Ovis aries: one gene and its partners. The protein of the gene in region 7 interacts with the protein of the main gene of each other region in a pairwise test. Links are inferred from orthologs where the notes say so. Each region holds a gene or a part of one and is shown on either strand. Other genes may lie near its edges.

Region 1 (3,500 bases), on a different chromosome or scaffold from region 7:
GAGTGAAGCGACTGCCTACAATGCAGGAGACCCGGGTTCAATCCCAGGGTTGGGAAGATCTCCTGGAGAAGGAAATGGCGGACCACTCCAGTATTCCTGCCTGGAAAATCCCATGGATGGAGGAGCCTGGTAGGCTACAGGGGTCGCAAAGAGTCGGACACGACTGAGTGACTTCACTTTCACTTTTCATAGTGAGTGAAACTGATTGGGGTTTCTGCAAGACATTGATTATGTGAAGGGTTTTCTGAGTCCCTAATCTTTTAATTTTATCTTTCATCCCATACAGTATAATATGCTAGACATCTGTATTGTTAGTTTCTTTTTCTATATCCTTACTTTTCAAAGTCTAGTATCATATTTTAGGTATTTAATATAAAGTACTGGTCAATGGGTGAGATAAGGAGTATACAGAAACATTTTTTTTTTACGTAATGAATTTCTTCAGGTAGATGGCATGTTTTGTGTCTTCACAGTGCAAAAGAAAGAAATAGAAATATATTAATCCAGATACTGATTTGAAAAGATGGCTGTCCTGTCTTTGTTTTGAGTACAACCTTTGGGTCTCAATTCTAGTTTCAGAATTCTGTTTCTTACATACCTATACTCCGTTCAGTTTATTATTATAAAGAAATCTTTCCATAAACAGTTCTTGAAAAGATACTCTATTTAAAAGAATTTTAAAGTCAGTGATATTTGCCAAGAGGCACTGTGACTCATTTTCACTCTGTGACCAGTGACATCTCATTAGGATAAATTCATTGGTTTATATTACTACAGAGTGGAAAAACTGGACTGAATTTGGATCATTTATATTTCTTTAAAGAAAAATGGAGTGTAGAATTCACTGTTTCTGAAAACTCCTGACCTTTAGGATGGCCTGCTTTGCTGTAGCATTATATTTAAAGTGAGTATCTTGATATTCATCCCCTGATTTATGGAAGATGAGCCGGAGTAGCTGTTCTGTTTCACATGCTTGAATTCAGCCCCTGGTGAAGATAGCACTGCAGTAGCAGCGTGTCTTTTTGGATGAAGATAAATACAGTCAGGAAAGATTGGATTTCGGATGTGAATTTGGAGGTCCAGTGAGAAATGTTGACATTTCTAAAGCTGTTTTGAAGTATTATATATTGTTTGACAGAGAAGTAAGACCCAGTATGGAAAACTGTGGATGAAAATCAGTTAAAAACTTAAAGCTAATGTAGAAATATGAAACAGCTAGAAAAATGTCTAAGTTTCTTTTCACACGTTTGACATCTTATTACTATTGATGAACGAATTGCTGATCAAGATAATTTAAATTAAGGTGGTTCACTAGAAGGGTATTTTAAACCCCTCTCCGTAATGTAAAATGTCTTTCTTTCTTTCTTGAGTGATTGCTGCCCCCTAGTGAGATTTTAGTTTTATTCTCATTATAAAGTCCCTGTACTAAAATCCTCTTAGTATGGAAATAATTGATCTTAATTTTCAAAATATTCCAAACCTGATGATGTCTAATTCACTAATATAGTAAACTTTTATTTCTATAAAGAAAAAATAGTGCATTTGAAACACAGAATAGCCCTTTAATCAGATAGACTAAACATATACAGCAAATTTATGTCACTATAGTTGTAAACTTGTACTTTGGTCAAGTCTAAGTCTAATTAATTATCTTATTATGGAGACTGTTATATTTTAAAGAGATAATATATTTTAAGTTTTAGTAAAGTGCTTCACAAATAGTAAATACTGTGTAAGTATTAGTACTTTTAACAAGAACCTTAAACTTTCACATGATCTGATATAAACTTTTGTAGGTATTGGGCTTTTCTGCAATATATTGTCAATATTTTTTTTTCTTTAGTTGTGCATGCAGTATTTCCTTGATTTAAAACCTTTTGGTAAACTATAACATGTTTTGTATCTTTAAAATAAAATAAATTGCAATTAGGTAAAGATTAATTCACTTATACAAATTTTGTTTAAAATTAATATTTGTTTTATTTTGATCATATGGATTTGATTTTGAAGGTATTCTGAGCATTAAAATAATTAGTACAAATACAAAAATTAATTTATCTAAAACTCTTTTCTTATTTGGTTTTGTATATTTTACTACATATTATATTACTAAAAAATATATTGTCTCTTGCCAGTGGTGTTGATGCTCTTTTGGAATTAAAACCATTTGTAGAAGAAATCCTCCAAGGAAAACCTTTGACTTTGCCCTTTGAAGGGGTTGACACTTTCGGAAATCAGGTTGGATTTGTGAAGCTGGCAGAAGGAGGTCACATAAACTCACTTTTGGAGATAGCAGGTAAAACAAACGGCGATAAACTTACATGAAATCTCATTGTTGAAGAGGGAATTTTTTTCTTCCAATTCTTATAATAGAGATTTGACATCTTTCAACTTTGTGGGGGGCAATGTAGCCTCACTTTATGAGTGACCTACTTCAGCATTTGCTTGTGTAGATAAGTAGCCGAATAAAAGGCCAGAACAGTTACTGTATCTTGATCCTTTGACTCGGGGGAATATGTTGATTCTGGAAGATGATGGACTGGACCCAAGTATTTGTTAGGACCATCCTAATCATAAGTCTGAAGGATCCAGTGCTTATCATGACATATAGCTGGCATTAAGTAAATATTGAATGAGTTAATTAGAAACACCAATTGCCTGTTCTGCTTGTGGGGATTGTCAGCCCCATTTGGGAGAGTCAGTAGATGAATCAGTGACATTTCCCTCTGTGCTACCTTTTTTCCTTCCTGTTTAGGTACCACTGTCTAAGCAGAAGGCCCGTTGGTGGTGGTAGAAGGTCTAACATCCATTGGAGAACAAGCTGCTTTCTGCAGCACAATTGAAAATGTTAGGGAAATTTGTTGTTGTTCAGTCTTTCAGTCATGTCCTAATCTGCCACCCCATGGACTGCAGCACATCAGGCTTCCCTGTCCTTCACCATCTCCCAGAGCTTGTTTAAACTCATGTCCTTTGAGTTGGTGATGCCATCTAACCATCTTTTCCTCTGTCATCTCCTTCTCCTGCCTTCGTCTTTCCCAGCATCAGGGTCTTTTCCAGTGAGTGGGCTCTTTGCATCAGGTGGCCAAAGTATTGGAGCTTCAGCTTCAGCATCAGTCCTTCCAATGAATATTCAGGGTTGATTTCTTTTAGGATTGACTGGTTTGATTTCCTTTCTGTCCAAGCGATTCTCAAGAGTCTTCTCCAACATCATAGTTTGAAAGCATCAATTCTTTGGCAGTCAGCCTTCTAGGGAAATAGAAGCAGAAAATGATAAAACCTGGAAGAGTGCTTTTTTGAGATGATCCAGAGATCATAGTTTGGGTGTTCATGTACGTACTGTAAACAATTTTTATTTTTTTCTCTCATGTCAGATCATTTCATGTCATCCTGTTTCAGGTTCAGTAATCCTTAATTTATAACACTCTCTGATCATTGCTCCATGCTGGGCTTATTTTTCTCTGTCTATCTGTCTTAAAATAATATCATCTGGGAATCCACCA
Region 2 (4,082 bases), on a different chromosome or scaffold from region 7:
TCTTTCTTTTTCGCTTTCCATCTGGTGACCTGGTACTGGATAGGGGCAAAGTGGGTAGAATCAGAGAGCAGACCTTGGGCAGCCCCCCTTTGCATCCAAGGGGCTGAGGTTATGCCTCAGGCCTGACTCCCTCCATCTACCTCGCACCTTCAGGTCAGCTGACAAAACTGAGAAGGGTCCAGCTATCTGAGCAAGAAATAAGGGGCTTGGCTGGAGCACAAGTATGTTCAAGGGTCCCAACACACACTCACACACACATTAGAGAACCTTAAACATCCATCATCTATAAAACATCCACATATTTAAGCCTTCAGTGCTTGACACATATGCAGAAAGAATCTCAGGACATGAATCTTTAGGACACGCTTAAAACTATATAAGCTTAGAATACACACAAATATATGCAGCATAAAACCAGCACATATGAACATATGAACACCTATGCTGCCTTCAGTATAAACCCAAGCATGGTACATAAGCAGCAGTCTCTATTATCTATGTGGATGTGACTTTCAGGGCTTTCTCAAATGTTATACGGCCTCAAGGATATGCCCACGTGTTTCACAACCCTCTAGACAGGCACCTAATAATACCATGCCCCTCCCCACAGCGAGCATGTCATTTGATTTTCAGCTCATGCATACACGCTAGATAACCACAGTGGACCACCAGAACCTAGACTCAAGAACATGAGAAAAGGATGGGACTCCCAAAGCCACCCTGTCCATGGGCCCCATTTAACAGAACAGCAAACTGAGGCCCCACCTGTGCCAGCTGACACGGTGGGCAGGGGTCAGAGCCAGAACAAAGACCTAGGGCCCCTCCATGTAAGGTGTTATAGCAGCCCTCAGCCACTGCACATGCATGTGGCCAGCCTCTCCACATATGTGTTACATAACCTCAGCACACACAGATTACATAAGCTTCTACATGCATGCACGGATTGTATAACCTCTCACACCCACCCCGCGTGTGGCATGTTGCAGAGTCCTCCCTCCAGAGTCCCATGCAACTACCAACACACTGACACAGTGACCTTGGCCAGGGTCACAGTCACAGATAGCTCTGTGTCCCACACACCCTGGGGATTGCCCCTGTTTAATTTCTAGAACGGTTCGAGGGTCAGATCTGCCTCCTGTCTCCGGAGGGGTGGGTATGGGGGAATGCCTAGCTATCAAGGCCCCAGCTGAGCTGACTGACGGTCTTCAGCAATTAATCAGTTACCGCCTCTGGGTGCAGTACCAGAGCTAGCCACAAGGTGGCGCAAGGACATGGGGGAGGGGAGGCTGTCAGGGGAGGGGCTGCAGTCCTGGGGGGACCAGGAACTGGCATTCCCGCCTTTCTGTGCCTTAGGAGCAGACTCTCCCAGACCCACAGAAGTCTGGGCATGGAGGTACAGAGGCTGTAAGAGAAAGCTATGCAATGACAGGGTACATCTTTTTCAGAGTTCCCTGGGGTAGGGACTGGGTAGGGGGATACCCCACTGCCCTTACCTAACCACCAGCCCCATCTACTTACTCCACCCTTCCAGGGACCCAGTCTTGGGCCCCAAGGCTTTGCTGGCCCAGGACTCCAGCCTCCTGGCTCAGGATCTGGTCTCCTAGGCAACGGCCACACTGCTCCCCAGAGCACCCATCCCCCACCCTCTCCCCGGCCATAGGCACAGGCTGTACCCAGCTCCCAGGGCACCATGCCAACAGAGACGGAGCTCTGTGCTGCTTGGAGCCGATGGGAGAGGCAGAGACCCTCTGGGCTCCTGAAAGGCACTGCAGATGGTAGGTAAGCCATCCCTAGCTGTGTGTGCAAGGCTGATGTCTGCTCCACGTGGGAGCAAAATCTTCATAGCTGGTATTCACTTCCACTTCCTGGGAGGAGCTCCATGTAGTGCCCGCCCTTGCCCATGAACAAGGAAGAGCTTGTGAGGCTCCCAATAGCTTCCAAATATAAGTGTGCGCTGTGACCAACAGCTACTGGACCATGTTCCCTGAAATGTCATGTAACAGGCACCATGGCTTCTGGACTGCACAATGGCAGTCAGAAGGGAATGAGCTGCTAGGGAGAGGAGGAAAGGAGGCAAATGGCAAGGCTGTTTGGATTCCACAGATGCAGGTGAGGGTGGCCGAGGGGACCAGGGAGGGGGGCAGGATTTGAGATGCCCAGCACCATCCAGGGAGGGGCCATGTGTCTGCCGCCTGTAATTACTCTACATCACCTCCCCCTTTTAGAATGGGCATCTGTCCATCCAGGTGCCTAATTCCCTGCCACATGGGAACATGACCTCATCTCCTGGGCAAAGGTAGGCAGCAGGCTGGCTGGCCTCATGCCCCTGCCCTGGCCCCCACCACAGAGGTACTTAAAAGGCCCAAGCTCAGCTCTCTTGGGCCCAGCCAGGTGACCCTGCTTGCTGCCTAGGAGTTGGCACGACGTAGCTGCCGAACGCATTACCTGCTCTCCTCTGGGTCTGACCCACACTCCACCTTGCTTGGCTTCTGTTCCATTCACTTCAATTCCATCCAGGATGCCCTCCAGCACGCCGAGAGACTGGGGTGGGCACACTGGCCCCCCCGGCACACCCACAGGCCACCCACCCCCTGCCACCCAGGCCCTAGGGCACAGCACCCATGGTGCCTGCCTCAGCACTTGGCCTTTCACACCATGCCCTGAGCCCCAAGGGGGGCGGGCGGTGAAAGGGGCCAGGGAATGGCAGGTGGTAGGGCTGGGTCGGGGAGCAAGCTGGGTCTGTAAAGGGGTCCTGGGTGGGAAGAGTAACTTCTGAATCTTGTCCTGTCCAGAGGTCCCTGCAGAGAGAGGAGAGAGGCAGGGATAAGGTGGCGCCATGGTGGGGCTAGGTGAATAGGATTCCTTTGGTACCAACATTTTCGGGCTTATAATGAGATGATGGGGGACTTCCCTGGTGCTCCAGTGGCTAAGACTCCATGCCCCCAATTCAGGGGGCCCAGGTTCAATACCTGGTCAGGGAGCCGGACCCCACAGGCTGCAACTAAGAGTTCGCAAACCACAACTGAAGTTCCTGCATACCGCAAGGAAGACCTGAGATCCAGTGTGCCACCACTAAGGCCTGGAGCACGCCAAATAAATAAATACTTTGAAAAAGAAAATAATGAGATAGTGGTAGTCATAGAGGGCAGGCACAGGGAGAGGACTAGGATAACCATTCAAATCAACAGAGAGCAGGCAAAAAAATAAAGAACCACCACAGAGCAGGCAAGACTGGAGATCCACAGCCTGATCTCCAGACATGAACAAGGATGGCGGGAAAGAATGAGGTCATCCATGTACCTTGTCTCAATCCTCACAATCAAGTGAGGCCCTTGTGTGTGTGTTAAGTCATTTCAGTCGTGTCTGACCCTTTGCGACCCCATGGACTATAGCCTGCCTGGCTCCTCTGTCCATGGGATTCTCCAGGGAAGAATACCGGAGTGGGCTGCCATTTCCCTCTCCAGGGGAATCTTCCTGACCCAGAGATCGAACCCGCCTCTCTTGTGTCTCTGGCATTGGCAAGCGAGTTCTTTACCACTAGCGCCACCTGGGAAGTTCCTGGCCCTTAATATGCATCTATTAAACATCAGTTGCTATTACCAACCCCCTCGCCAAGTTTTCCTAAAACTCATCAGTAGTGTAAAGCAAGAGGCCACCAGAGATGGGCAGCTTTGAGCCCAGGCACAGGGCGGCAGGGGGTCGGAGGGGGGGAGGGGGGTGTACTGGGGAAGGAAGCCTGGTTTGTAGAGGTGGCATGCAGGAATCCTGAACACCCACCAGAGTGCCTCAATGAAGAGGGACGCTGAAAACAGTAGGGAGCTGCCCCCTCCCCCAGCTGCTGGCCCAGTTATGACTCCCCAACCCTGGCCCCACAAGGTGATTCCCATACAAGGTCCCACATCACACTTCCCAGTCTGAGGACCAGGCTTCCCCTTCCCCATTGGTTTAGCTGAGCTGCCACCCACCAGGAAGGCAAGGGAACAGGGAATGGAAAATAACCCCCGTTAATGGCACATAGAACATATGCCCTCTGGTATCAGAACTTCGCAGGTGAGTAAACGAAGCCTCAGAAAGCTTGAACA
Region 3 (4,165 bases), on a different chromosome or scaffold from region 7:
CCAGGGGCCGTTTCACCTGAGTGAGCACGCAGCTTGTGCACCGGCCTCGTCAGCCTGTGGCTCCTTCTCGGCCTTGCAAGCCTCCAGACTGCTCCTCGGACAGGGCTACACTCAGAGCCTTCCCCACCGCCCCACCCCTCACAGGTGCTTTTCAGGCCTGTAGCTTTCCTCGGTGAGGTTGGATAACCAAGTCAGTAGGTCGTGGCCAACTGTTTTGTCTCAAACTTTTATTTGGAGGTCACGAGAGGCTGACAGGAGGCTGGAGGCTGGCCAGTCTCACCTACACCAGAGAACAACAGCGCTGCCCGAGCGGGGCCCGGCTCCCCGCCGCGCATCCTCGTATCACAGGCTCCCCAGGATGGCGCTCTGACCCTGGCCCCAGAACTGCCAGCGTCCCTGAGACCACGCTGCACCGGGTCACCACCCAAACTGCTCGTCACCATGGCCTCTGTCCCGAGTTTGAAAGACGCTGCCCGTTTCAACCTTCACGGCTGACGCCTGAACGTCCATGTCCGTCCCCTGAACTCAATGGGACGGAGGCGACGTGTCCGTTTTGGGTGTGCGGTCCCAGGGCGTGGACATGCCTGACACAGGCATGTTCCCCTGCACTGGAGGCACGCTCAGCATCCGAGCAGGCGTGGGGCTCCTCATGGTGCCTGCGCCCTGCTGCACGAATCCCGGGAACCAGGGGGTGGCTGCCATTCCCAGCACACAGCCCCCCACGGGGGGTCTCAGACCCGGGAGGACCCAGCCATGCCACCCTCTCCTCGCACAGAAATGCCCGTGGACAGAGCTGCAGCCGCGGCTGATGGGCTCAGCTGTTGCCAGAAGGGGCACCCTGCGCCTTCTTTATGCTCTCCTCTGCTCCGGGGGTCCCGTGCATGCACCCCCACCGCTCATAGCCACAGAGGACTCCTGGGGCACACGGGGGCCCAATAATGAACGTCCTTCTGAGGGGTGGGTTATTCTGCCCCCAAGAACGGGTTCCGTGATGCGGAGCCACGCCTGTGCCCTGGCTGGGGCCCAGGGGGAGGCGCCGAGATGCCGCAGGCTGGGTGAACAGCGCCCAGTGGTGGGTCCGCCGCGCGGCCCCAGAGGCTACACCATTTCAGCAGAAGAAAGAGACCTCTAAAGGAGGGTTCTTGGTTCAAGGGCATGTATTCTAAGAGCATCTACAAAAACGTACAAAATTCTAACCCTGCCTGCATCTAACTTTCAATATGAAAGCCTGGGTGTAATTTGCAGTTTCTATTTGGAATCAAACCTGTGAAATTTCTTCTGATATTATCCACGTTTTCTAAAAACGACTGGGTGAAATTCCGAGGGAAGGAGCAGTGAGTGGCCGTGGCGGGAGAGAACCAAGGTGCGTGGTGGCCACCAGAGCAGGGCCGGTGGGGAGGCCACCTCATTCCCCCCCAAGTGTCCCCACGGGTCAGAGCTGCCCCTGGAGGGTTCGTCTGAGGAGCCTAGCCCTTGGGACAGCCTCCCTGGCTGCCCACAGGGACACTGCATGCTGGGTGGACCGGCTCCAAGCCTGGTGATGACGGCAGGGCAGGCGAGGCTGGAGGCAAGGGCGGAAGCTCCCAGGGGCCCTCTGGACTGTTTGGGTCGGTCACCCGTCCTTGTCCTCAGGCAGAGGGAGGTGCCAGTCTTCTGGGGGGCTCTGCCTGGGCGCCCACACCAGGCCATGCTTCCGTGCAGCCCGAACTCTGGCCCGCTCGCTTTCACACAGGGACCGCTGCAAAGGAGACCGGGTCACGGGCAGCCCTCTGAGATCAAAAGGCATGCATTTGACATTTAGGCAATCAAAACACCCCACATTCCACTAGCACTGCCCAGGTGCTCACTCTCCAAACCCCAGTGATGTTCCGCTGGGCAGAAACCACTCACCGTCATTTTAAATGTGTATCAGGCCATCTGACGTCCTTTCAGGGTGAATCCCTTCTCTATGCCTTTTGTCCACTTCACTGTGAAATCCATTTCTCATACTGATATATAAGAGCTATCTTGACAATCTGTGTATCAGTTATTGATTTCTTGCCACACAGACCCGCCAACTTTCTCTTCCACTGCTCAGGGACTGGGCATTTACACTCGCCAGTCCTGCTGGCACACCCCAAGAGCTCTGCACCCTCACAGCTCCGCTCCACCCTTTGCCCCATCAGCTCCAGGGCACCACTGTATGCCAGACTAGGATGTAGGAGTCAGGAGGGCAGAGATCGGGTTCTAACCTCTCCTGTACGTCCAAGAGCGTCCAGGGGGAAGCGTCTGCTGAACGGATGGACCAAGGGCCCCTCCTGACTGGACTCCCGTGACTGCACCACGCCCTCTCCCAGCCTGGCTGCCAGACTGGCCTTTGAATGATACCAATCAAAGCACACGCGGAGGGCTGGGCCCGAAGCCCCCGTTCCAGGCCCGCCCCCCGCGCCCGGCGCCTCTGGTTCCCGGCCTTCCGGGGCTCGGCGGGCCGGCTCGGGTCACCTGGCCTCACCTGGGCTTCGGCGCTGCGGCGCTGCTCCCACTCGCGGCAGCTGGCCAGGTCGCGCCGCCACTGCCCGCAGGCCGGCCGCTCGCCGTGGACGTAGTAGTGGCGCAGGAAGTGCCCGGCGCTGCGGCAGAGCTCCCACTCCGCGCGGTAGGCCTCGCACGGGCGCGGCGGCTGCGGGGGCGGGCACGGGGGCGTGAGCGGGGACCAGGGGCCCGCCCGCCCGCTCCGACCGGCGGACTCGGCTCCCCGGGCCCCCAGCGCCCACGGAGCTTACCCGCCAGCCTTCACCTTCCGCCATGTTCCGGAACCGCCGGGCCCGCCTCCTGAGGCCGCCGCCGCCGCGTGACTGACGGGCAGAGGGACCAATGAGCGCCGAGGCTTTGCCAGTAGCTCCTCGCCCACCTCCTTGAGATGCGCCAGTGAACGGGACATCCGGGCTGGCAGCCAATAACAGCCTGGGGGCGGGGCCCGACACTCGAGGGGGGCGGGGCCGAGCCCGGCGTGGGCGGGGCAGTCTCTGCCCGCGGCTTTCTCTTCGTCGCCTCGCAGTTCCGGTCGCTGAAATAGATCAGCGCCCCCGGGCTCCAGCGCCGCGCGGTCAAGCCTGCGGCTGCGGCTGTCCCGCCCGTGTCCCCTCCCGAGGGCGTGCAGGCAGGAAGCGGGGCGGAGTGGGGCGGAGGCCGTGCGGCCCGGGGAGCCAGCCGGCCCTGCGGGTGGGCGTCCCGAGGCGGCGTCGGGGGTGAGGCTGTGCTGAGGCGGGGGCCGGGGAACCAGGCGCGTCCGTGAAGGGCGCGCACGAGGCAATGACAGCGACGGCAAGGAGGCTGACGGCGCCTCAGGACTAGCCTGCGACCCCTCCGCGGTGCTCCTCCGCCTCCCCCAGCCTAGCCACCGCCAGTTACCCGCCGGGTGAGTCTGCGTCAGGGCGGAGAGCTGCAGTCTCACCAAGGCGTCCTGCCGTGGTGGTTCACAGGCCAGGCTGCCCACCAAAGAGGGCGTCTGCGTCTGCCAGCGAGCCGAGACCCCTGGAGGGTCCGGCAGGTCACAGCCTGCTCAAGACTTCCGAAACCACTTGCATTGCCTGGGTGTGGCTTTGGGTCACAGGGCCCAACCCTGATTATCACGATGAACTCTAATGCTCCTTCTCTGAGGACACGTGGGTGAACCCTGGGACCACTCTCCCGCGGGGGACAGTCTCCTGAGAGTTGAGGGAAGCCTGTGGAGATGGGCCTCTTTGCCTGGAGCAGAGGCAAGGGGGGCCCCTGCTGGGCCCAGGGTCGGAGAAGCCCGCAGAGGACCTTTCCAGCAGGTGTCAGCCGCATGCTGGTACCTAATCAGACGCGTAGAGGCAATTCAGGTTTTGGTCACTGCCTGTTTTTCATTTGAAATTCATAATCGAAAATTATTTTCAAGGAACAAGAGATTCAAATAATTGAACTGACATGTCAAAGGAGCTCTTATTATATAAAGTGGAGACCTGAAATTAAATTAACACTAATTTTTAAAAAAAAAGGCCAGCAGAACTTTGGAAAATTTAATACATTTAAAACTGGGAGTGGGAGGTAGGGAGAACATATCTTCAGGTTTCATTTATTTTAACACTTACATTTGTGCTTCATCACGAAGCTCTTTTTACAAAACAGACTAAAGAACCAGTTCTGTCCAAATTAAATCAAA
Region 4 (3,500 bases), on a different chromosome or scaffold from region 7:
AGGTCCCCAAAGCCGCACAGCACGGCCAGAAAAAAGGAAAAGGACACACAGCAGGAAGGAGTTCATATCACAACCAGAGCAGCAATGGGCAGAATGTCTGTGCTGGGCTCCGTCCGCATGTACATTTTTCCCCCCCAGAACTTAAGTACCATGGCCCCAGTTTAAGATGAAGAAACTGAGGCTCAGAGAGGGGAGGGACCACCACAGCTTGAAGCAGTGATACGAGAACCTGAACTCTGGACATCCAATTTCCAAGCCCCCACTGGAGGGGCTCAGCCCCCCACCCCCGCCCTCAGGGATCAGGCAATGTCAGGACTCACAGCGCAGGCCACCGGCCGGAAGGAGGTGAGCCGCTCCGCGGGGTAGGACGTGTTGCCGCTCCAGGCGTCCCAGGATGGGTACTCGCCCCGCTCCAGCACATACTGCTGCCCTTGGAAGCCGGCGTGCTCAAAACCCACCCACCTGCCAACAGAGGGTAGAGGGTACAAGGGGTGAGGAGGCCTCCGACCCTGAGTTCCAGACCAGTGGTTGTCATATAGGGGTGACTTTGCCCCCCACACACACACACACCCAAGGAGGCATTTTAAATGTCTGCAGGCATTTGTAGTTGTCTTGCTGGGAGTCCGGAGGAGAGAGATTTACAACTGGCATTTGTGAGTAGAGGCTGGGGACGCTGCTAAACATCCTCCCATGCACTGGGCAGCCGCCAGCACAGAATTGCCTGACCCCAAACATCCATAGTGCCGATGTGGAGAAGCCCGCTGCCCCACCGTGCATCCTGCAGGCAGGGGACTGGCAGGCACCTGCCACCCTTGCGCCTGTCCCCCTGGGCCATGTAGATGAGACTTGACCAAGTGCTGACTTCAGCTTTGGTCATCTCATTAATCTCCGTCTCTCTTTTTAAGTTTTCAAATTTATTTTATTTTTGGCTGCGCTGAGTCTTCCCTGCCGTGTGGAGGCTTTTCTCTAGCTGCGGTGTGCAGGCTCCTTATTGCGGTGATTTCTCCTGTTGTGGAGCACAGGCTCTAGGGTACAGGTTTCAGTAGCTGTGGCCCGTGGGCTTAGCTACCTCAAAGCGTGTGGAATCTTCCCCAGCCAGGGATCGAACTCACATCACCTGCATTGGCAGGCAGATTCTTTACCACTAGGCCACCAGGGAAGTCCCCTCTCTCTCTCTTTTTAAACAAAACATATCTCATGCTCAGAGCCTCAGTCAGGCAGCAATGCTTAACTAAAAATTACTAGCATTATTTTTCACTATATTTTTAGTTACCTTCCACTTTTGGTGAGTGATATTGACTTTTGATTTGTACCTAACAGAGACACTTCAGACCCAACACTGGATTTTGAAGGTCTGCCCCCACAGGGCTGCCTCATCCAATGTGCAGACTCGGTGAATGCACCACTGACCGCCCCCCCCCACCTCTCTGCCCCGCTCCCCGCTACATTTGGGCAGTGCACAACCTGCGCAACCTTACACTGCCATCCTTCGTGCTCCCCAGCATCTCAAACCCACGGAGGCACACCGGTACAGTTAGAGCCTGGGAAGATAGGACCTCGAACACCTAAAAGTCCCAGCACCCTTCTCTAGATACCTTCCTGTCTCCCCAACCCCAACTCTGATCCCCCTGGACTCACGCGCCACTCAGCACTTTCAAAGATCGAACAGTCTCGAAGCCAAGCTCCAGCACGCTAGGGCACTCAGCCGTGAACTCATGCCGCCGGCCCTGGAAGCCCTCCTCATCCCACACCACGATCTATGCCGGAGAGAAAAGGTAGGGACCCACATCAGAGTGCTGGGCAGCCGGGGGGAATGGGGGACGGTGAGGGGTTAGGGATGCACCCCAGGACTCAGTGAGGGGCAGGCCAGGTAACGCAGGGCCGGCAAACTCAGATGCCTTCAGGGTCCAGGGACGGGAGGGTGAGAGCTGAGACCCCGGGAGCGCCACCTACTGTTGCCACGTGGTAATGCGACCAACAGTCCAATTTTCCCAAGACAGCCCCTGTAACTGAACTTTTCTGTGAGCTCTCCCGGTGTTCAAAGGCTGATGACAAATTCAGAGGTTTTAGGGTTTGGTTTTTTTTTTTTTTTCCCTCTTCTCTTTTAACACAGAGGAAACCAAAGGAATCACGCCCAGAGACTGTGCACCATCACCGGCTGGCCTTTTCTGCTGGTGGTAGTGGTGCTGGCCACTCAGTCCTGTCCGGCTCTTGCGACCCCATGGACCGTAGCCCGCCAGGCTCCTCGGTCCATGGGATTCTCCAGGCAAGAACACTGTAGTGGGTTCCCATTCCCTTCTCCAGGGAGTCTTCCCAACCCAGGGATCGGACCCAGGTCTCCTGAGTTGCAGGCAGACTCTTTACCGTCTGAGCTAGAGGGAAGACCTGTTGTTTTCTGCCAGAGAGACGGTTAAAGTTGGGGACAGGAAGCCCCAAGTTCAAGTCAAGAACCTCTGTGTGTGACCTTGGGCAAGACCCTCTCCCTCTCACAGCCTCGACTACATCCTCTGTGAAATGGGCCCTCATTACCGCCCCCCTCCAGGGGTGAGGTGGGAACTCAGTGAAGGTGGGGCAGGGGTCCGCAGGACCTGGGTTTGACCTGTGCCCTCTCCCTCCCGACGTCGTCCCCCACCCCCAGCGCCTCCCCTACCTTCCAGTGTCCCGCCGACTTGGTGCACTGCAGAGACATGCCGCTCGTTTCCTAGGCGACAGAAGAAGGTGAGGAAGCTTCCACCCAGACTCTGCTCCCCTCCTTGAAGCTGAAGTCTGGTTTGAGCAGATGGGTACCCAGGTGGGGTCCAGAAGTGCCCCAGATGAAGGGCAAAGTGCGGCTTTGGGCTGTCCCCCTCCTCCACTTTCCAGTACCATCTCCTTCTCTTCCATCCTCTCTCTGTCTCAGAATGAACCCATTCTGGGTCCCGTTCCTCTAAGCCCCCTTGGTGCTGATTTATCTACTCAGTAGGGGGAATTTTCCATGGCTGCGGGTGGGTGGGTGCTGCGCCCCTGGCAAGCGCCAAGGTGCTCAGCTTGAGAGCCTTCCAAAGACAGCGCCTGACCCAGAAGGGAGGCTCTAAGAGCAGAAGGTGAGGCCGCAGGATTACAGGAATCATTTGGGTTTCAGATGGCGGTCGCAGGTACTGGTCTCAAGGTCTGGAGCCTGGTTCGATGAGGATGGCATGCGGGATGACTCAGTGGTATCCCCCCAGGACTGGGGACGAGGGGCTCCCCTGTCTCCCAGGAGACTCACCCAGAGCTTGAATCCCACCCCTTCTCCAAGCCGGGGACTTACCGAGATGGACCCAGAGAACATGCCAGACCCGGGAACGGCCGAGGTCAGGCTCTTATAGGCAGGGAGGAGAGAGGGCCCCTGGGGGACGGAGCCCTGACTCAGCAAGTGAGTGACGGGAACAAAAGCCAGCCCTGCTTGTGTATCCGATGGAGAGGTGTCAGCACCATTGGCCTCGGCTGGGAGGGAGAGGCCAGGGTGCCCCCCTCGGGCA
Region 5 (3,500 bases), on a different chromosome or scaffold from region 7:
GCTGTCGTGTGGTCAGCTGCATGTGTTGTGGGAGGCTCAGAGTGTCCAGGGGAAGGACCAGACAGACCTCCCCATCCTAACTTGCCCTCTTCCCCCTCTCACGAATTCCCAGACCGAGAAGCAATTCAGGAGCTTGAGAGCAGTCTGAAGGAAGTCCGCAAGACAGCCAGTGGGACTGCCCTGTACTATGCTGGCCTCTTCCTCTGGCTCATGGGCCGCCACGACAAGGCCAAGGAGTACATTGACCGCACGTTGAAGGTTTCCAGCAGCTCCAGAGAGGTACAGGCCCCTGGCATCGTGGGGGCAACAGCCAAAGAAAGCAGCATCCAAACACGTCATACAGAGTGGCTCTGACTCCCATGGAGGGCACTAGGGCTGGGGGAGGGTCACACCCAGGCACCAACAAGGCCCATGCTGGCTCAGGGTTTAGCCAACTACAAACTGGACTTTGTCCATAGAGTCCAATCTGCAGATAGGTGTTTTATGGCCTGTGCTATATAGTTTTAAAATCTTGAAATAGTTGCTAGCATTTCGAAATCAGAACATTTTTACCTAAAAGTCCCAGATTTCTTGGTTCTTTTGAAAAACTAGATGAGCTGGCTTCACTGGGCCTGCACTCCCTCCGTGCAGAGATCTGCTCGGTGTCTCTGCTCGGCTCACACAGTAGATCTCACCTGTGGCGGTCTCATGGGCCGAAGGACTGTAGAATTGGAAGCCTCAGTCTAGGCCGTGCATCTCAGCAGGGCGTGTATCACCCCCAGCCCCCCAGTCAGTCAATCAGTTCAGTCGCAGACTCTTTGCAACCCCGTGAACTGCAGCACGCCAGGCCTCCCTGCCCATCACCAACTCCCGGAGTTTACCCAAACTCATGTCCATTGAGTCGGTGATGCCATCCAGCCATCTCATCCTCTGTTGTCCCCTTCTCCTCCAGTCCTCAGTCTTTCCCAGCATCAGGGTCTTTTCAAGGGGGCGGAAATTGCTTCTTGAAGGAGAGGATGAAAAATCTCATTGATTGGATGTAAAACACAAATATACGCACAGAACGTAAAATCAGTCAGTGTACACATGATACTTAATTCTCTTGGAGGGGCAGAGAATGACTAGGTGGGAAACATCTAAAAAGGCTCCTTTGTTGTTGTTCCGTTGCTCAGTCGTGTCTGACTCTTTGCGACCCCATGGACTGCAGCTCACCAGGCGCCTCTATCCATGGGATTCTCCAGGCAGAAATACTGGAGTGGGTAGCCATTTCCTTCTCCAGGGGAAAAAGGCTCATTAGAAGGGCAATAATGGAAAAGAATTGAGAAACCTTCTCTAGGCCATGAGTGGTGCTTTGGGACAGGGTCTTCCAGGTGCCCCTCTGATCTTGCCTCCCAGGCCTGGCCTGCCACACGTGCCGGGCAAGGTGGGGCAAAGGCTGGAGAGGAGCCGGCAAGGCCCATGAGCTCAGAGTGGCCACCCGCCCACTCAGAAGGCATTCCCAGCTTTCCGTCCAGGCCAAGCCCTTACGCTGGTCTAAGGAGCGGAGGCAACAGGAGTGGTCCCGCCATGGTGCTCTGACCCCAGTGTAAACAGACAGTGACAACGCAGGGCAAGAGAACCATGGGGGTTACAGCGAGAGCCTCAGCCCAGCCTGCAGGGTCAAGGAAGGCCTCCTATGGGACGGGCCTCCTCCACTGAGTTTTAGCGACTGGTGGTGGTTAACCAGGTGAAGGGACCTGGCTAGGGGGTGCATGCTGGGAAGGGCTTTCCAGGTGAAGGAACAAGAGGTAGGAAGGCCCGAGAGAGAGAGCAGGGCTGCCCTGGGATCTGGGAGCAGCGGTGCCTGGCAGGGCCTCGGAAAATGGAGTGACAAAGAGGGGGAAGTGGGGCAGGAGAGGCAGTCGAATGGAGGCGATGCAGGAGCGAGGACTTACCTTTCCCCTTGTTCTCATGCCAGGGCCATGTGCTCAGAGGCTGGGTGGACCTCAGCTCAGACAAACCCCACACGGTGAAGAAGTCCATCAAGTACCTGGAGCATGGCATCCAGGACACCAGAGACGTCCTGGGGCTGATGGGAAAGGTAGGCAGTGGGGAGGCGAGGGGTGGGAGTGTCCCCAGCCAGGGGCCTCCGTCTCTAGGGCCCCACCTGGTGGATGAAGAGCAGAGTCCCGGAGAGGGCCAGGGCCACAGAGCAGCGCTGGGCCCGCCCCAGTCCTTCCTGTCTGAGTTTCTGTCTGTCTCCTGCCTAAGATCTCCTCAGGACCTATGCTCCCTGGGCTCTGGTGGGCTTTTTTCTCTCTATCCCTTTTGTTTTCACCCACTGTCCCTTTCCTCTACGTTTTCTTTTCTCATCTCACCTGTTAAACTCACTCACTTGGTCATAAGAGAAAGAAGGTATGTGTTTTGTATTTTCTGATCTTAAATTGTTGCCTTTTTCTGATGTGACCCTCTCTGAATCAGTCTATGAGAGGAAAAATCATCCTCTTACCTGCTTCTGTTTGTATGTACCTATCTTATAAAATGAATACGTTTGCACGCATGCTCCGTCGTGTCCGATTCTTGCAACCCCGTGGACTGTAGTCTGCCAGGCTCCTCTCTCCATGGAATTTCCCAGGCCAGAATACCAAAGTGGGTTGCCATTTCCTCCTGCAGGGGACCTTCCCAGCCCAGGGATCGAACCCACATCTCTGGTGTCTTCTGCATTGACAGACAGATGTTTTGTTTGTTTTTTTTTTACCACTAGTGCCACCTGAAATGAATGCGTGCTCATTGAAAAACCAGAAGTCTAAAAAAGTCAAAATGGCCTCCTTTTAGACCTGCCATCCCGCAAACAACCCACGGCAATATTTTAGGGCCGTGTCTCCTCGTCTCTCTGCTGCGCGTTGTTTCAGGGTGCACCTTCAGTGGTTCGTGGGGGAGCAGAAGCCATGAGGCTATCACACAGGAGGATTATCAGGCTGTGCCCTCAGAACCGACATGTGTAGGGAAAGGGAAAGAAGTAGGAGGGAGAGCTTGGACTGTGCAGCAGCCATAGCGGCAGCCTCAGCCAGCTCTGCTTGGAACTGGAGCTGGGGTGGCCCTGCCCCGACCCCCTCCCTGACAAGATGTTGGCTGTAGGCTGCCCCTCGGGGATGGGGGCAACCTGGTACTTGGGGGCTCCCTGAAGCCACAGGGGAGCCCAGGAGGGAGGCTCCTCCAAGAGATATCAACAGCCACCCCCAACCCCTGGTCCTGAAGGGGGTCACGCACAGCACCTGCTACAGGACAGCAGACAGGGGGATTTCATGTGGCTGTTATCATAGGGCACCTTGCCATTTGGTCTCTTCATGTAGGGCTGTGTCATAAGCACATGTCGTTTTGACATAAAGTCAGGCCACGACTGCGTGGACCTAATATAATTTGCCAACTTTGCCTCCTAGTGTTTGTATATTAAGGTTGTTTTTAGTTGTATCTGTAGAAAGAAAGCTTCAGTGAACACGTCTATACGTAAATTTATATTTAGAATACTCCTCTTCTTGTTT
Region 6 (3,500 bases), on a different chromosome or scaffold from region 7:
TCTGGCTTCAGTTGCATTTTCTAGCCAAAGTTTAAAGACTATAGAGCTTAGGTTTTGTCTTACCAAAGGCAGTAAGTGGACAAGCTGCGGGGTAAGCTCAGTTCTGTGCCATCTGTCAAGCTTACAGTGTCATGAATTCTGCGGAACTTCATCTTGTCCGAGGCATGGTCCCAGCCTGCCAGCCCATCGAACCCACCAGAACCAGATCTCTGGAGAAGAACTGACGACCTGCCAGGTGGATGATAGGGTGTAGACACCTAGGAACTGGGAGTGTGGAGTCCTTGACCACGCTCTGGGCTGTCACTTGCTCCCTGTGTGCTGGCGTGGAGAGCTTTGGTTCCTTTGTTGTAAAGGGAGGTATCTGGATAAGATGAGTGGTGAGGGGCAAGGAGTATAGTATGAACATAGTAGACCCTTAACTAACTGGCTTTTAATCAATCAGTGAGCCAAGGGTCATCATCGCTCGACCTCTGCTCAGGCCCCCAGACACTTGTGTCCTGGAAGGCCATGGCTGGCTCCCTGCTTCCTGGCCAGTCCTGAGGTCTGAACATCCACCTTGCTTTCTCACACTGATAATGTAGTCACTGCTTAGCCGCCTTCCTGCTAGGAGTTCACAGAAAGTGGGTCTGCCCTGTGCAAATTTATATCGATGATATTTCTTCATTTCTCTGTGAAGATGTTGGAGGAAAACCTACACATTGATCTTGCTGTTCATGTACCGACCGAGCAGCAGTTTCGCCTGCTGAGAGGAAAGGGCAGCTTGCTCAGCTTCTGTGCCCAGCCGTGCCCTGCAGGACATAGCACATTTCTGGATGTTCCAAGCCTCTTTTCCCCACCCATGCTGGCCTGAGCCTCTCTCTCCTTGCCTTTCTTCTACTGCTTTTGTCTTTCTTTTTTCCCTTCGGACTCTTCTCCATGCTCCCTTTATCCACACTGGAGCTGGGACTTGACCCATGGGGATGATGCATTCATACGCTGGTCTTCTCCCCTGGTTGCCTTCCAGGAACGCTGGTGCAATCGATGGTCAGAAACCTCGAGAAGCAGTTGGAGGCTCCAGCCAAGAAGCCTGCTGGAGGGGTCAGTCTGTTCTCAGTGCCCAGTGCCGGGCCACAGAGAGCTGCTGTGCCAGGAGGAAAGCCCCAGGTAGGCTGTAGGACCTAAGAGGCGCCCCTGCAGTCTCTTACAGAGCTGGCTCGAGTTTGGGGCCCTGGGCGGGGCCTGAGGGAGGGCCCGTGTGCGACACTACAGTTGACCTCACGCCCCTCGTCTCCTCTGCCCCTGCAGGAGTGGTGGGATGCCCACTCTCCAGTGCTTGTTGTTTGTGTCCCTTGTTAACATCGAAAAGCCTTGTGGTTCCTGGTGGCTCAGAGGTGAAAGCGTCTGCCTCCAATGCAGGAGACCCGGGTTCGATCCCTGGGTCGGGAAGATCCCCTGGAGAAGGAAATGACAATCCACTCCAGTATTCTTGCCTGGAGAATCCCATGGACGGAGAAGCCTAGTAGGTTACAGTCCACAGGGTCGCAAAGAGTCGGACATGACTGAGCGACTTCACCTTCACCTTCATTACATGAACAACCACTCGGTGGGTTGTTTCTCCCAGCCACGCATGCCCCCACTTCTGGCTCTGATGGGGCCTGGACCTGGCTCTGTGCCTGGCTTCCAGCAGTAGCTGCTCTATTCGGGCTCCATCCAGCTCATCCCACAGCCAAGCTCTCCCCTTTCTTCACTCCCCGAGAACCCCAGTGCAGGACTGTGTGCAGAGCAGACTGCTCCACAATACACAGTGGGGATATTAGGCACCTTTGTTCCAAATATCCAAGGCCATTCCTCATCACTAAGAATGTCTTAATGGCCTTGCCTCTCTCCAGCTCCAGCTGCCATCAGATTTATCGCTCAGATGCTCAGCCTCCCGGACAATTCCTGCTAGGATGTCCTTGCCACCTCCCCTCTCCCTGTAAGGGAACCACTTCTGTATTCCTGTTGTGTTTTCTTAGGCAGAAACATTTCAAGCTCTTGTAACTTTACCCTCCTTTTTCAATCAGAAAGATGCATCCTAGGATGACCTATGTTATTGCTCTAAAATTCAGAAATAATGGGCAATCATTTTTCGGTTTTTCCTAGCATACACCTCCCCTGGCAACCCCGACACCCACCCTGTGCTATGTAATATGTTCGGTTTATTATGTAGCTCATGTGTGTTTATGAGTAATGAGTCTAAATGATTCAAAATGTATTCAAAAAGAATTCATCCTCAGTTGTGAGAGAGCACCGACCGCGCTATGCAGGTTGAGGCACTGTCCAGAGCCTGCTTGCCACCTGGGGCCCTGGAAATTTCTGATTGGTTCCTTACGTTCCATGGCAAATGCTCTGGGCACTGAGAGCTCTGGTGGGGGTGGGGTGACCATGATTCTGGTTCGGGGACAGCCTGGGAGTTTGGCCCACGCTGGGCTCCCCTGTTGGCCCAGCTCAGACCTTTTCCAGGCTGAAGGATTCCTGCACTTGGAGTTCCCCTCATGCACCTTTGGTCAGAGTGTCTCCCAGCCCTGGACCAGCGGTCTGTGGCAGGTGCGGTGGATGCATTAGGCTCTGGTGAGTCAGCTCAGGAGTTTGGAGAAGTTAAGTCCCTGGACTTCGTCACTGTGGGCAGTTCAAAAATCTGGACAAAGTTTAAATTTCGACAAGCGCAACCTGATCTTCTACAGGCCTTGGGGCTGGCCTCAGTATGGCCGGTGGAATTTCAGGGGTGTTTTGCAATGGCTGTGACCCCAGGTCTCTGAAGCAGGTTCTCAAAGACGTGGACACCAGAAGATGAGAGGAGTGGCCCCTCCTGCTTCCTTCCAGATCTGCATTTTCTCCGCATATCCGTCCTCCCTGGTCAGATGCATTTTCTTCTCCCCTGTTCTCCCTGCAGCTTTCTGAGGATGAGAGTGACTTGGAGATCTCTTCCTTGGAAGATCTCCCACAGGACCTAAACCAGAGAGAGAAACCAAAGCCCTTGTCTCGCTCAAAGCTCCCGGAGAAGTTTGGTGCCAGCTCTTGGAGCCCCAGTCAACCCAGGGTCCCTGGCTGGTGAGCCTGCTTCTGATTCTGGGAGCCAAAGGACCAGCCTTGTTGCCCAGCTGTGTGGGGCTGGCCCAGAACCCCCCAACGATGGGGCCGCTGGGCCTCTTGTCTTCCTCAGGAGCCAAGAGGTCTTCTCCTTGGACAGAAGCAGAGTAGAAGACAGATATGATTTCTCCCATTCCCCCATGAGAGCCCTGGCAGTGTCCCATGGGTCCCAGGGCTGAGAAAGTGTTGTAACAGGACCTTGAAAGAGCATCCTTCATCTACCTCCATGCTCGCTCCAGACTGAAAGGAGACACTTGGTCTCTACTCTGCAGCGTTTTGTAAACCTTGTAGAGCTGGGTCTTTTATGGGGTCCTTTGGGGGATGTACGCCTGAGTCAGCCATTCAATAATTGACCCAAAGTCACTTACTGAGGTCGTCTGGCCTCTTACTGC
Region 7 (3,500 bases):
CACCTCCCTCCCCATAATATCTCTCTGGGTCATCCCCGTGCACCAGCCCCAAGCATGCTGTGTCCTGCATCGGACATAGACTGGCGATTTGATTCTTACATGATAGTATACATGTTTCAATGCCATTCTCCCAAATCATCCCACCCTCTCCCTTTCCCTCTGAGTCCAAAAGTCCGCTCTACACATCTGCGTCTTTTTTGCTGTCTTGCATACAGGGTCGTCATTGCCATCTTTCTAAATTCCATATATATGTGTTAGTATACTGTATTGGTGTTTTTCTTTCTGGCTTACTTCACTTTGTATAATTGGCTCCAGTTTCATCCATCTCATCAGAACTGATTCAAATGTATTCTTTTTAACGGCTGAGTAATACTCCATTGTGTATATGTACCACAGCTTTCTTATCCATTCATCTGCTGATGGACATCTAGGTTGTGAAACTGACATTTTAATACATTATAAGAACTACTTGTTTAGAAAAAAGAGAACAAAGCTGAGCTGGATGCCATAGATGGTTGCTTGCTAAGTTAATGGTGTCTATAAGCCCACAGGTAAGAGTCACAGGAAGAAGATAAGTGATCCCTACTTGAAACCAGTTATAACAGAATGTGAGATTAGATCTGTTATAATAATCAAAATATTTAGAATTTTTAGTTTGTAGCATTAAAAAAATTACATGTCAAGGTAGCAATGGTTCATTTGATGTCATAGTGAAATTATAATTGCCTTCAGCATGTCTTAAGCTCCCAGAGGGCCTGTAGCTTCTGCTTTTTGGTGTCTTTTACAGAATAAATGCTCAGTAAATATTTGAGTTTAATTATATGTGCAATTTGTTGACATTTCTCCCCAACTACAGTTCAGTTGATAGTGGGAGTAATCAGGTTAAGCAGATTCAATCTTGTGAAAGTCTTTAAAGTTAAATAAAATTTGACCTCAGAATTCCTTGACATGTTGTCTTCCTCAGTAGGACAATTCCTTATGGTCTTTCCTTGTGGATATTAAGGGAGTTCAGCATTTGCAGCCTTCACTAACATCATTGCATTGGCTGCCTTTTGTTATTTCTCTAAGAAGTAAAACCTGATACCTGTTTTTCCTTTTATGATTTTTACTTCTTTGTATCCTTATAATAATTAATAGGAAGTTAAGAAAATTATGACAGATTTTAAAAATCTTTTCTTGGCATACATTAAAATAATCAACATTATAATTAGTTTCTTTAAATATTGTATTTTGCTTTTTCCATTTCAATTGCTGTAGGACCTTGGCCTCACTACTGTCTGGGAAGACCAGCTTTCTTATCTCTTGTCACCAGCTCTGGCGTCTTATGAATTTGAGCGTACAACAAGCATATCTGCGGGCAATGAAGAGTTTCAGGATGCTATCAGAAGGGCTGTGCCTGATGGCCACACATTTAAAGGGTTCCCAATACACTTTGTGTATAGAAATGCGAGGCGCGCGTTTGCCACATGTCTTCGGTAAGGTGGAATTTATGATGTCTTGGTGTTTTTAACATAATTTCAGTGAACACTTGGCACTAATTTAGGAATGACTTCAGAGTCACACAGGGAGCTTCTGTAGTGACCTGTCCTCTTGCCTCAGACTCTGATTCATTAGGGCCAGAGTGTAGCTCTGGAGAGCTCAGGGTCGTTTTTCTGCCAAGGATCACTGATCTTGTCTAGTGTAATTTAAAAAACTTAATTGGCTATGAGGAAATAGTTTATAATTTGAATAGTTTTACCACAGTTGCAGAGTCCTTGATAACAGAGACAGGATTTTTAAAAATCATTTTCAATACCCGACTTTCTTGGAAATAAAGTAAAACCTAAATTCATTTCTTAATTGAATCCATTTTCTCTCTTCTAAGGTCTCCTTTCTGTGAAGAAATCATCTGTTGCCGTGGAGACCAGGTGCGCCTGGCAGTTCGTGTCCGCGTGTTTACTTACCCTGAATCTGCTTGTGCTGTTTGGATCATGTTTGCTTGTAAATATCGCTCAGTACTATAGGACTAAGTTTCTATAAGACTATACCTGTGTTTTATTAGAATTTTACACATTGTGTTGATAATAATACTAGGTGTTTTGAGGTTCATTACTTTAAAAATCACAATCTGGCTTCGATGTCATATTTAACTTTTATATAAGCCTCACTAATAATGTTTGAAAAGTATCATGATGTGTGTTTAAAAATTAAGGATGAAAAACTTGTATAAATTTGAGAGGATGGTAGTATAAATTAAGTGTTTATCTTATTTTAATAAATACTACTTTGCTTATAAGTAGTCAGTAGTTTAAATATGAAAATAAAATTTACTTAGTTTTCTTTGCATTAACAGGTAATCAGAAAGTTATTTGCCTAAGGATTTGAGCCATAGTGAAGTTAATACGATCATTATTTTTCATAGAGTAATGGGATTATTTTATATAAATTAGGAGAAATTAACTTCACAACATTTATTTATTACATAGATGAAATGCATTTTGATGAATTTACCACTTTCGTGGTTTACTCATAACTACAGGGATATTTGTGACTCTCTAGAGAGTTATGGGAAGACATGGGTGCAGGAGCAGAGAAAAAACTCATACCAGAAAAGCATTATTATTAGTAACAAACCACACATGAAAGTATACAAATAATTTATAAGTATTTGTTAGTTTGATTCATTGTAAAAGTGAATTGTGTATTTTATTATTTTTTTTGCTTATTTATTTTTGAATTATTTTAGAAAAAATTTATTATACCCTTTAGTTGTATGTTGAAAATTGTTTTCTATAATTGATATTGGCAGTCTGTTGCTGATTTTCTGTGGTCACAGCATTCTTTACTAGCCTCTCGTGGAGTTTATCTTTTGAAATCACAGTTTTTGTTTCTTTCTTTTCTCTTTATGATAAAAGCATCCATGTGTATGTGGTGAATGTAAATCAGAGAATCATCATGTGAGGCCACTGAAAAACGAGCATCTGTGAGTGCCTCCATGCTGATGTTTGTTTTTAAGTTGAGAACAGTGCACTTTGAAGAGGCTGTAGTGGTTTAAACTTTGTGAGAAGCTGCCTGATGGGATTGCCTTGCCATCCACCCACCTCTCTGTACAGCTCTCATTCTTTCCTGCAACCACTGGGCTTCTTATGAAAGTGACTATACCAAGTGGCTGTGCAAGTTATGCTTTTCATTGCTAATTCAACATGGCAAATAAAATGATATTTTAGAAATTAAAATCTAAAGATACTCTAAAATTTACTTTTTAATTTTTACATATGTAATTATTTATGATATAACTTGTTTTAAAAGTCTGAAAATAATCTCTCATACCAATTTTTATTGAAAATGACCAGAAATCAGAAGTTTCTTGAGACTGACATGACTTTAGAGAATCAGCAAGATAAGAATTAAGACTTTTTGGTCTGTTACCAGAGTTACTTGCAAAGCTATCAACAGGAAAAATGGCTTGTAATTTTCAGCTTTTGGAACAAACTATTTGTGAGGCATGTACTAGGAGGCAG

Evidence for each region.
Region 1: the proteins of CEP76 (region 7) and AKAP7 interact in a two-hybrid assay, tested with the Homo sapiens proteins (3 studies listed by BioGRID). The two-hybrid records come from large-scale screens. The link is inferred for Ovis aries from reciprocal best matches to the Homo sapiens genes CEP76 and AKAP7.
Region 2: the proteins of CEP76 (region 7) and THRA interact in binary tests that used the Homo sapiens proteins (3 or more experiments, as listed by UniProt). The two-hybrid records come from large-scale screens. The link is inferred for Ovis aries from reciprocal best matches to the Homo sapiens genes CEP76 and THRA.
Region 3: the proteins of CEP76 (region 7) and C17H22orf39 interact in binary tests that used the Homo sapiens proteins (3 or more experiments, as listed by UniProt). The two-hybrid records come from large-scale screens. The link is inferred for Ovis aries from reciprocal best matches to the Homo sapiens genes CEP76 and C22orf39.
Region 4: the proteins of CEP76 (region 7) and CRYBA4 interact in binary tests that used the Homo sapiens proteins (3 or more experiments, as listed by UniProt). The two-hybrid records come from large-scale screens. The link is inferred for Ovis aries from reciprocal best matches to the Homo sapiens genes CEP76 and CRYBA4.
Region 5: the proteins of CEP76 (region 7) and TTC21A interact in a two-hybrid assay, tested with the Homo sapiens proteins (2 studies listed by BioGRID). The two-hybrid records come from large-scale screens. The link is inferred for Ovis aries from reciprocal best matches to the Homo sapiens genes CEP76 and TTC21A.
Region 6: the proteins of CEP76 (region 7) and DZIP1L interact in binary tests that used the Homo sapiens proteins (3 or more experiments, as listed by UniProt). The link is inferred for Ovis aries from reciprocal best matches to the Homo sapiens genes CEP76 and DZIP1L.

What each region holds. Positions count from the first base shown.
Region 1 is NC_056061.1:56,701,515-56,705,014, forward strand, and holds part of AKAP7 (A-kinase anchoring protein 7), read left to right. Parts: intron 1-2,135; coding exon 2,136-2,296; intron 2,297-3,500. UniProt on the Homo sapiens protein: Probably targets cAMP-dependent protein kinase (PKA) to the cellular membrane or cytoskeletal structures.
Region 2 is NC_056064.1:40,127,948-40,132,029, reverse strand, and holds the start of THRA (thyroid hormone receptor alpha), read right to left. Parts: upstream 2,801-4,082; 5' UTR 2,499-2,800; coding exon 2,446-2,498; intron 36-2,445; coding exon 1-35.
Region 3 is NC_056070.1:72,728,495-72,732,659, forward strand, and holds C17H22orf39 (UPF0545 protein C22orf39 homolog), read right to left. Parts: upstream 2,801-4,165; 5' UTR 2,787-2,800; coding exon 2,763-2,786; intron 2,660-2,762; coding exon 2,492-2,659; intron 1,739-2,491; coding exon 1,613-1,738; 3' UTR 211-1,612; downstream 1-210. UniProt on the Homo sapiens protein: Negatively regulates long-term potentiation and modulates adult synaptic plasticity. Stabilizes the interaction of RTN4 isoform A/Nogo-A with its receptors, inhibiting clustering of postsynaptic AMPA receptors at synaptic sites.
Region 4 is NC_056070.1:66,459,990-66,463,489, reverse strand, and holds part of CRYBA4 (beta-crystallin A4), read right to left. Parts: intron 2,702-3,500; 5' UTR 2,690-2,701; coding exon 2,651-2,689; intron 1,758-2,650; coding exon 1,639-1,757; intron 463-1,638; coding exon 321-462; intron 1-320. UniProt on the Homo sapiens protein: Crystallins are the dominant structural components of the vertebrate eye lens.
Region 5 is NC_056072.1:12,442,587-12,446,086, forward strand, and holds part of TTC21A (tetratricopeptide repeat protein 21A), read left to right. Parts: intron 1-112; coding exon 113-279; intron 280-1,936; coding exon 1,937-2,059; intron 2,060-3,500. UniProt on the Homo sapiens protein: Intraflagellar transport (IFT)-associated protein required for spermatogenesis. Required for sperm flagellar formation and intraflagellar transport.
Region 6 is NC_056054.1:251,716,063-251,719,562, forward strand, and holds part of DZIP1L (cilium assembly protein DZIP1L), read left to right. Parts: intron 1-1,003; coding exon 1,004-1,143; intron 1,144-1,353; exon of another isoform or gene 1,354-1,426; intron 1,427-2,911; coding exon 2,912-3,073; 3' UTR 3,074-3,500. UniProt on the Homo sapiens protein: Involved in primary cilium formation. Probably acts as a transition zone protein required for localization of PKD1/PC1 and PKD2/PC2 to the ciliary membrane.
Region 7 is NC_056076.1:43,547,447-43,550,946, reverse strand, and holds part of CEP76 (centrosomal protein of 76 kDa), read left to right. Parts: intron 1-1,257; coding exon 1,258-1,475; intron 1,476-1,864; coding exon 1,865-2,003; 3' UTR 2,004-3,500. UniProt on the Homo sapiens protein: Centrosomal protein involved in regulation of centriole duplication. Required to limit centriole duplication to once per cell cycle by preventing centriole reduplication.